Drosophila melanogaster: one gene and its partner. The gene in region 1 interacts genetically with each later gene. Each region holds a gene or a part of one and is shown on either strand. Other genes may lie near its edges.

Region 1 (4,009 bases):
AAGTTCCTGGTGCACAACGTGCGCGAGCTGGAGGTCCTGCTCATGCAGAACCGCGTTTACTGCGGCGAGATCGCCCACGGCGTCTCCTCCAAGAAGCGCAAGGAGATTGTCGAGCGCGCCAAGCAGCTGTCGGTCCGCCTCACCAACCCCAACGGTCGCCTGCGTTCTCAAGAGAACGAGTAAGCTTAAGATTCTTGAGAGTTCTTGTAACGTGGTCGGAATACACATTTGTAAACGTTAATATACCGGACTTTTAGTTAAAAAATGATGTGCGAGTGCCGAGTTCAATTGTCATTTCTGAGATTGGGATAGCAGCACCATTGATAACATGTGCATTATCTGGATGGATATCAGTTAATCCAGACCATTGCGGTCTTTCTTTCTGATAGCAACTGCCTCGAGATATTAGACCAATATAAATTCCTTGACGTGCCAAAACTAGACAGCATCAATCCTTATCAGGGAATTTTGTTATATATTTTACATTTTTCCCCCTTAGTATTGAAAGAGGTTGTTTATATGAAATCATATATATATTCGCAATTATTTTTACAGAACAGTGTACAATTATTATCGGAAATGCTTCTGTCTAAATGAAACGCAGTAATTGAAATACCAGTAAATTATATTTTGTAGGAATCTACAATAATCAAGTACAAAGAGGAGGAAATACACTAGGGAAAGATAAACAATTACTTATTGTAGGCAATGTAGCTTATTTCAAGACCACGTCGTGATCAAATTGCAAGTGGTGTTCGAGCTCCTTCTTGTTCTCGAAGTTGGTATTGCAAATGAGACAGAAGCCGCTGTTCTCATCGTTGTCGGACATGATGACGGTGACGGCCGCCTCCGATTCGTCGACGTCCACATGCAGCTCCTCCACCACCTGCTGCTCGTCGGCGGGCGCCTCCTCGCGAACCCCGTAAACGACGTCGCCCTCGTGGGTCTTCATGTGCATCTTGAGGGTGTAGCGCTCGGTGAAGGACTTGGGGCAGACGGAGCAGTAGTGTCTTGGGCGGTTCTCCTTGTGAATGAGCGTGTGATGGTTGAAGGTCTTGCGCGACTTGAACGACACATTGCAGATGCTGCATATGATGGGGTTCTCCTCAGCCTCGTGGCGCAGCCGGTGGTTGTAGAGTAGGTTGTCCTGGGAGAACCTCAGGCCGCACTTCTCGCACTGGTACTTCTTCTTGTCCCAGTGCATGCGCATGTGGCGCAGGGTGTTCACCGGGCGCGAGAAGCTCTTGGGGCAGTAGCGGCATTGCTTTTCCGTCTTGCCCTCGTGCAGATTCATGTGCAGCTCCAAGTACTCCTCGTCGCGCCGGATCACCCCGCAGATGGGGCAGATGTGGTTGGGCTGCTTGGAGTGCTCCTCGCTGATGTGCTTCTGCAGTTGATACCAGGAGTTGTACACCTTGCCGCAGGTAGTGCACTCCTGCTTGACGCGCTTCTTCGTCGGCCTGTCCTCGCCATCGGAGGACTTGCCATACAGGGCCTCGGAGTCGCCCACATCCACGTCCTCGCAGATGAACTCGTCGTCGTCGTCGTCGTCCTCCTCCTCCTCCTCGTCCACGAACTCTCTCTTTATCTCCGTGTCGGACTCCTCCTGATCCTTGACCAGCTCCACGAACAGGGCGTCCGCCTCGGCATCGGCGTCTGTCTCGACATCGCTTTGGGGTATCTCCACCTCCTCCACGAGTATGTCCTCGCCGGACTCCGGCACCTCGAACTCGGACTTTAGAGCGCCCTTTAGCTGGGTCGTCAGCCTCTTCTGGGTGGTCATCAGGTTCACCATGATCGTGTCGTAGTCGGAGAGCTCCTGAAAGCAGCGCGGGCACAGCCGGGCGCCGGGCTTCAGGTCCAGCTGCGTCTGGATGCAGTTGGCCAGGTGGGTGAGCACCAGGGACACTGTTTTCTGCGACGACGGCACCTTGGCCGACAGCGTCTCGTAGCGCATGGAGCTGGAGGAGCCCGTGTCGCTCAGATCGACGGCGCCGCAGAAGAAGCAAGTATCCATTGCGCCGACGATGGTCCTTTTAGCGATTCCGTTTCGTGCGGCGTTTGTTTACAATCTTTTAAATTGTGTATGAAATTTAATAGAGTTGGCAAAATGATGAATATCGGAAGCTATACTAAAATGCGTGAAATGCAACCATGGCATAATGCCCACCAGGGCTGGCGAACGATGCCGATTGATGCCAGGAACGGAACGGTGGGAATGGAACAGGGTGTGAAAACTGAAATATATGAGTTGAATAATAAAAATATGTGTTTGCTCAATATTGCAAACGGATATTCAATTTGCATAAATACATAATTTGTTGTTGATTATTATGGTGGTGTTGGTTTCTTTAGTTATGAAAACGAGTAGCATTTAATTTATTGATTCCCTGAAAAAATTGAATTGAATTATATAATTTTTTTATAATGGTATGTTTTAATTGTATTTTATATAAATTATGCGAATGGCTTCAACTTAATGAAGTAATTACATAAGTGTAAAGAACACAATTGACTTAGGTAGCTAATTAGAATCTTTGTAAGGATATGTTTAATCTTAATTAAGCACTTCAAGCCAATGAAGTATTAAAAAAAATCTCATACAGATAAGCCCGCGTATTTAGAATATGGCTCGCCCCACTCAATCTAACCTAAGAATCTCAGTGATTTGGAAACTAATAAGATCGCTTTCGCTGTGTCCGGATTCAGCAAGTGAGTCCTGTGGCCCGAAAACTGAGCAATTTCCGGTTTGTTTTACAAAGGATCGATGCCGTTTGCCAAAGGATCGACTGCTCCGCACAAAAGTTCGGGTTGCACTTGAGGGCACTTGAGCTTCGGAAGCAACTGAGGAATCGGGCTCCAGATTATCCCTGCATATCAAGTCCCTCAGCTTGGCCAGCACGGAGTACAGTATCTTAAGGCGCTTCACGATGCGCTTGGGATCCACTGGGACGTCCAGGTTGACCACGGCCTGGCACTCGCGCAGGATCAGAATGAGGTCCTTGTGCACCCGCTTGCCATCTTCACTGAGTCCCGAGTAATTGACGGGCAGCCGAAAGTGATCCACCACCACTCCGCCCCTCTGGACAATCAGCTTCAGATGGCTTTTGTCCTGTACGTGGATCCTCTCGCCCAGCATGTCCAGGTAGTTGTTGATCAGGGAGCAGCTATCGATGATTTCGTGGATGACGTTCCTAAAGATCAGCAGCTCCTGGTTAAAATGCTCCTGCAAGACCTCCGCGTGGTGTGCGGATGAAGTGGACTCTGGCAGCTGGAGAGCGGGCACAATGCACGCATCCAGGGATTCCAGTGAGGCCAGGCAGCTCCTGACAATCGTCTTCGTTTTGATGTCCTGCGAGAAGGCTATGGCCAGAACCCCAATCTGCTGAATGCGATCCATGTTCGTGTCGAATGCGGAGATTAGCTCCTGAGCTCCCGCAGGATCCCTTTGCAGTGCATCCTTTAGCTTCTCCACCGAAGCGTTTTCCAGATCTATCAGACTGACGAACAGCAAGTGCAGCAGCGCCTCATTGAGAAAGGATTCCAGGGCATAGAGGGCACGTTCCAGGGAGAGGGCCTCCAGCTTCCGATGACCACTGTTGGGCTCGCCCGCCTCCTCGTGGAAAGTGGCACATTCGGCGAGCAAGGTCTCGCACAAAGCCGTCAAAGCCTTCTTGTCCGAATGAATGGCCACATTGGCAAAGGCCAGGGCGTGGCGAACGATGTGATTAACTATGCTGGCCAGCTGGTAGGTGTCTTCCGTGAAGCTCTCTTCTAGAATGTGCAGCGAGTTGTTTCTCTGCTGGGCCAGCTTCTCCATGTAGTCATCCAAGTGGTCCAGAGCCAGGTCCATGAGCTCAACGAAGGAGTGATCCTCTAGGTTCTTGACTGGGGTCACGTTGCCTTCCAGTTGCGTCAAGGAGACGAGCAGTCGCCGCAAGCACCAGTCCAAGCGGTCGAGGAAGTGCTGCCTGGTCATATGCGGTGCCTCCATGCTGATGGTCCGCTC
Region 2 (6,368 bases), about 23 Mb from region 1:
CTTGTCCTCAGCTGCATCCCGGCAGCGTCATTATGACCATTGCGGCGATGCCTCTTGGATGCAGGTTCAGGTCCTGGTCCAGGTCCTGGCAGGTCCGGCTGCTTCATGCAACGCTCGACTTGGCCCGACCGAACTGGACACACACCGAAACCGAACGAAAGAGACGGCTAGACGGCGTGCGACAGAGAGGGCTGCCGCTCGCATTCAGGCGCAAGCGGATCCAAAACAGAAAATGTCAAATTTTGTAATTTATTACCCGAATCCTGTTTCTGTCAGTGACTCTTTGGGTGTTTCGCTTCAGCAGCGGCACACACGGGGGCATTCAGCATTCAGGGTCGCCGAGCGGGGAAGGGAGAAGTCCTTTGTCACACACTGCGTCTGAATTTGTGGCCCAGTTCCGCACAGTGGTATCTAGCAGATACTTTTTGTAATATTTGTAAGAATGCACAGAACTTCGTTACATTCAGAGATTTCTAGTTTCTAGTCAGATGACTAAATACAATATTATGTGTCAAAGTAATTAATTTTGTTTTTGAATAAATTTCTAAAATATCAGCTTGCCTTTAACGTAAATATAGCCTTTTCTACCTATCTTTATCTGATATAAAAAAGTAGCATTTGAAATGCTGTTGTTGCAATGGTATCGAATTGGTATTAAAGCTCTGGCCCTGTTTAATTTGTATTTGTAGTCAGAGCAACCACTGTACCTTTGTGTGTATCCTTGGGCTTTGCCTATGCGAACGTATTTTGTTTGCCTTTTGGCTGCACTCCGACTCCGTCGACTGGAGTGTCTGTGAATTGACTTTTGTTGCCAGTTGGCAGCGGCAGAAGCAGCAAAGCCCGGCCAACAGCAACAAGCTCCTGCCAGATCCCAAAAGCAAACACGACAATTATTTGGCAAATGTCATTAAAAAATATTTCACTTAAGGCCTTGCGACACTTGCTTAAAGGTCAACTGGCTCGTTGGGTGTGTTTTAAAATGTTAAAGCTTGGGCCAATGCACTGAGCAACTTAATGCTTGTAGATATTTACACAATATTCTTCAACGCTAAACATATCGAATTTTCCAAATATGGAGCCTGAAAATAATAATTGCCAATCCTAGCTTAACATCAGAAATGAGTAGAACAACTTAAAAAAAATTAACAAAAGAATCGAACGCTACAGCTAATTAACTCGACAACTGGTTACCTTTTATTCTTCTAATACATTTTATAATGCACTGCCTAACAGGTACATATAGCAAGCACTATATGCTGTCTTACAAAACGATTATATGATATTTTCTTTCGTACGTAGCCGTTTGAGATCATTTGGAAAAACAAACTCGATCTCCACCATCCTTATTCTTTGTCCCAAGTCCTTATATATCTCGCGATACTAAGATTGAATAATGTAGTTATTAATAGCGGAAGTATGTAACAGAATAAACTACAAAGTGCACATTTTGTTCAATTCAGGCTGGACTGGACTGGAGCATATTAATATTATAATATTAACAAAAATTCAAATTAAACATTCGACACTTGTCTAATTGATTCCTAAATTTGGGGTGCCTGTTTGTTAATTAAATGTTAATATTATGAAGTTCCAAACAGAGCAAAGAGTTTAAGTTTAATTGGTTCTACTTATTTGTTACAATATTCAAGCTTTTTTTTATTATTATTCTCAAATGCAAATCTCTACAAATAAATAAACCTCCGACGTTTTAGAACATTCACCTTTTGTCAGTGAGCACAACCTTTCAATACAGCCCGACAGGGGGCTCTCTACTGCTGTCTCTTCACGCCCCCTGGTGAAAACGCTGTGCACTCAATCGGTTTGCAGCTTTGCCGTACTGTTCGATTAAAAACTTTTAAATTAGAGGCAAACATTTAAAAATAAAATGTCCAAATATTTGTCTAAAATGTATTGTAGACGCTTATTGATTTTTAAATTACTCAAAAGAATGAACATCGAGGGAGGGCCGCCAATTGTGCCATCTCTACATCTCTTCGCTCATCCCTAAATAACGGCACTCTGCAGATGCGAAGCAGTGGATCGCAAAAACGCAAAATGTGGGCGAAATAAGTTCGCGAGCGTCTCGAAAGTAACCGGTTACTGAAAATACAAGAAAGTTTCCACACTCCTTTGCCATTTTTCCGCGCGGCGCTTGGAAATTCGTAAAGATAACGCGGCGGAGTGTTTGGGGAAAATGGCGCAACCGCCGCCAGATCAAAACTTTTACCATCATCCGCTGCCCCACACGCACACACATCCGCATCCGCACTCCCATCCGCATCCGCACTCGCATCCGCACCCACATCACCAACATCCGCAGCTTCAGTTGCCGCCACAATTCCGAAATCCCTTCGATTTGGTGAGTTCCCATCGCAGCAGAGAAGGGCTCTTGTCCCAGGAAAGCTACAGTACAGATTCCCTATGGTGAACAAACAACCAGTGCGATCACTGATGACCATAAACATTTATTGAGCCGCAGCAAATGTGTTTCTAGAACATAGGGCGAAATCTTCTATTATCTTGTTTGTGACTTTTAAAGTATCGTAGCAGAATCTAAAAACCAATTGATATTATTAATCGTTACAGTTAGTATAGTATATAATTGTATATGAATTGTGGGGCATCATGTTATTAGTGATTTGCCGAAATGTTCTAAAAGGTGTTTCATTGAAATGGACGAATGTTAAACCTGTTGCACTCACACCGACAATCAGTAATGTCTATTTTTCAAAAGCCACATCTATGGCCACTGGGTATACATTATTGACTTTATACACTTCATACAACATATTTTCTAAAACAAGCATTGTTGTCCTGCATGATGATTAGTGAAAGTAATATTGCAAGATTCGGTCCCCGAAGCGAATCGTCCTTTCACGTTTTTATATAAAGACAGTGTACCCCTTGATTCTTTGAAGCTTTTCGATGAGCGAACGGGAGCGATAAACTACAACTACATACGTCCGTATCTGCCCAACCAGATGCCCAAGCCAGGTGAGCTCAAAGCCAACAAAGTCAGCCATCGTCTTATCAGATGTCTTTCCCTCAGAGGAGCTGCCCGACTCTCTGGTGATGCGGCGACCACGTCGCACCCGCACCACTTTTACCAGCTCTCAAATAGCAGAGCTGGAGCAGCACTTTCTGCAGGGACGATACCTCACAGCCCCCCGACTTGCGGATCTGTCAGCGAAACTAGCCCTGGGCACAGCCCAGGTGAAGATATGGTTTAAGAACCGTCGGCGTCGTCACAAGATCCAATCGGATCAGCACAAGGACCAGTCCTACGAGGGGATGCCTCTCTCGCCGGGTATGAAACAGAGCGATGGCGATCCCCCCAGCTTGCAGACTCTTAGCTTGGGTGGAGGAGCCACGCCCAACGCTTTGACTCCGTCACCCACGCCCTCAACGCCCACTGCACACATGACGGAGCACTACAGCGAGTCATTCAACGCCTACTACAACTACAATGGAGGCCACAATCACGCCCAGGCCAATCGTCACATGCACATGCAGTATCCTTCCGGAGGGGGGCCAGGACCTGGGTCGACCAATGTCAATGGCGGCCAGTTCTTCCAGCAGCAGCAGGTCCATAATCACCAGCAGCAACTGCACCACCAGGGCAACCACGTGCCGCACCAGATGCAGCAGCAGCAACAGCAGGCTCAGCAGCAGCAATACCATCACTTTGACTTCCAGCAAAAGCAAGCCAGCGCCTGTCGCGTCCTGGTCAAGGACGAACCGGAGGCCGACTACAACTTCAACAGCTCGTACTACATGCGATCGGGAATGTCTGGCGCCACTGCATCGGCATCCGCTGTGGCCCGAGGCGCTGCCTCGCCGGGCTCCGAGGTCTACGAGCCATTAACACCCAAGAATGACGAAAGTCCGAGTCTGTGTGGCATCGGCATCGGCGGACCTTGCGCCATCGCCGTTGGCGAGACGGAGGCGGCCGACGACATGGACGACGGAACGAGCAAGAAGACGACGCTACAGGTCAGGCATGAGTCCACAACCTTTTTTGATCTCTTGATTCTGAGTGTGGCGTTTATAAATTGAAGCTTTAAGCTTTGTAACTTTCAAACTGTCTGGTTTGAGATGTTATTCTGAAAGTACTTCTATTTCCGATCGATGAGATTTGGGAGTTCTCCAATATTTAACATTTAACTTATTAAGTTTTTGTTTTCTAAATTAGACATGGCATTTCTGAAAGGGAAGTACAAGTGTTAAAGATGTATTTTAATATAGAATTTGTATCAAAGGTTAAGATTTCAACCGTTTGAAAGCCCTTAGTTTTCAGGGTTTTTTACTTTTTTATTCATGTAATCACTCTTAATACACTGCAAGTTAAAATAGCATTTCTTTGACCAGAAAAATAAGATCTATGCATTTTAAAAGTGAAAACAGACTCATATGCTGATGAACATTTTTAGCTATAAATTGTAACAATAATTTAGCAATTTCAATCGAATTTATTTATGTTCTAAATGCGTTCGCTCTCTCCCTAGATCTTGGAGCCTTTGAAGGGTCTGGACAAGAGCTGCGACGATGGCAGTAGCGACGACATGAGCACCGGAATAAGAGCCTTAGCAGGAACCGGAAATCGTGGAGCGGCATTTGCCAAATTTGGCAAGCCTTCGCCCCCACAAGGCCCTCAGCCGCCCCTCGGAATGGGGGGCGTGGCCATGGGCGAATCGAACCAATATCAATGCACGATGGATACGATAATGCAAGCGTATAATCCCCATCGGAACGCCGCGGGCAACTCGCAGTTTGCCTACTGCTTCAATTAGCCTGGATGAGAGGCGTGTTAGAGAGTTTCATTAGCTTTAGGTTAACCACTGTTGTTCCTGATTGTACAAATACCAAGTGATTGTAGATATCTACGCGTAGAAAGTTAGGTCTAGTCCTAAGATCCGTGTAAATGGTTCCCAGGGAAGTTTTATGTACTAGCCTAGTCAGCAGGCCGCACGGATTCCAGTGCATATCTTAGTGATACTCCAGTTAACTCTATACTTTCCCTGCAATACGCTATTCGCCTTAGATGTATCTGGGTGGCTGCTCCACTAAAGCCCGGGAATATGCAACCAGTTACATTTGAGGCCATTTGGGCTTAAGCGTATTCCATGGAAAGTTATCGTCCCACATTTCGGAAATTATATTCCGAGCCAGCAAGAAAATCTTCTCTGTTACAATTTGACATAGCTAAAAACTGTACTAATCAAAATGAAAAATGTTTCTCTTGGGCGTAATCTCATACAATGATTACCCTTAAAGATCGAACATTTAAACAATAATATTTGATATGATATTTTCAATTTCTATGCTATGCCAAAGTGTCTGACATAATCAAACATTTGCGCATTCTTTGACCAAGAATAGTCAGCAAATTGTATTTTCAATCAATGCAGACCATTTGTTTCAGATTCGGAGATTTTTTGCTGCCAAACGGAATAACTATCATAGCTCACATTCTATTTACATCACTAAGAAGAGCATTGCAATCTGTTAGGCCTCAAGTTTAATTTTAAAATGCTGCACCTTTGATGTTGTCTCTTTAAGCTTTGTATTTTTAATTACGAAAATATATAAGAACTACTCTACTCGGGTAAATTGTGACTAACTACACATAACTACATACTTAGCCCATATTTCCGTCCCTTTCTAGAATGAACGAAAACAGTATCTGGTTTTCCCGAAAATCTTATGAATTTAAAAATGCACTTTATTGCACATACTCACACATGCCTGCCATAAAATATGATTCGCGATTTTTCCGCGAACACCCGCGGATCATAAAACATTTGCACCAGCTGCCTGTGTTTATTCACCTACCTGAAACCCATACTCTTATCGCCTGATCCTCGCGCGGTCGCACTATTTAGGTAGACACTGTACAGGCAGCACTCGCGGGGCGCCGCCAGGCAACTTGTTGCCCCTATTTTCTTTGATATAAGTTTTGGGAAATCCAGAAGTCCAATAACGGGGCCTATATGAACGAATATTGATTGGGTTTCTCCCAGTTATAGAGTTTTTATTGATCTTGGGCGCGTTTTAGTAGGTGGATTATGGATGTCCTGGGAAAACCAAGCTCTGAATCCATTCTTACTTATCACAAGACTTGTTTTCCTGTGCCCTTCATCACACCTAGTTTAACTACTATAATTAATAAACTACTTTTTAATCCGCCATTTATGAAGATAATTTATAGCATCTATGCATCTTTCAAATATCGCGAGATATCGCAAAGTATTCATAAATTAGTTTTTTATTGATATTGTAAAGCTTTTTAATTTGGTTCAGGTTTTTATTGTAAATACTTTTCACAATTGTGCACAGTGACCCATTAACATGGTTGCGATATTAACTTA

The links.
Region 2: of Sry-delta (region 1) and bcd, changing one suppresses a phenotype caused by changing the other (phenotypic suppression), as found in Drosophila melanogaster (one study listed by BioGRID).

Annotation. Positions count from the first base shown.
Region 1 is NT_033777.3:30,041,487-30,045,495, reverse strand, and holds Sry-delta (serendipity delta), read right to left. Parts: upstream 2,156-4,009; 5' UTR 2,018-2,155; coding exon 716-2,017; 3' UTR 610-715; downstream 1-609. Other genes in the region: RpL32 (ribosomal protein L32), read left to right, coding at 1-183; Sry-alpha (serendipity alpha), read right to left, coding at 2,642-4,009. UniProt on the Drosophila melanogaster protein: Transcriptional activator that controls bicoid gene expression during oogenesis. Found in transcriptionally active cells. Binds to specific sites on polytene chromosomes of third instar larvae. Binds to the consensus DNA sequence 5'-YTAGAGATGGRAA-3'.
Region 2 is NT_033777.3:6,755,098-6,761,465, reverse strand, and holds bcd (bicoid), read left to right. Parts: upstream 1-1,999; 5' UTR 2,000-2,194; coding exon 2,195-2,359; intron 2,360-2,896; exon of another isoform or gene 2,897-2,918; coding exon 2,919-2,994; intron 2,995-3,034; coding exon 3,035-3,993; intron 3,994-4,505; coding exon 4,506-4,790; 3' UTR 4,791-5,624; downstream 5,625-6,368. UniProt on the Drosophila melanogaster protein: Segment polarity transcription factor that provides positional cues for the development of head and thoracic segments.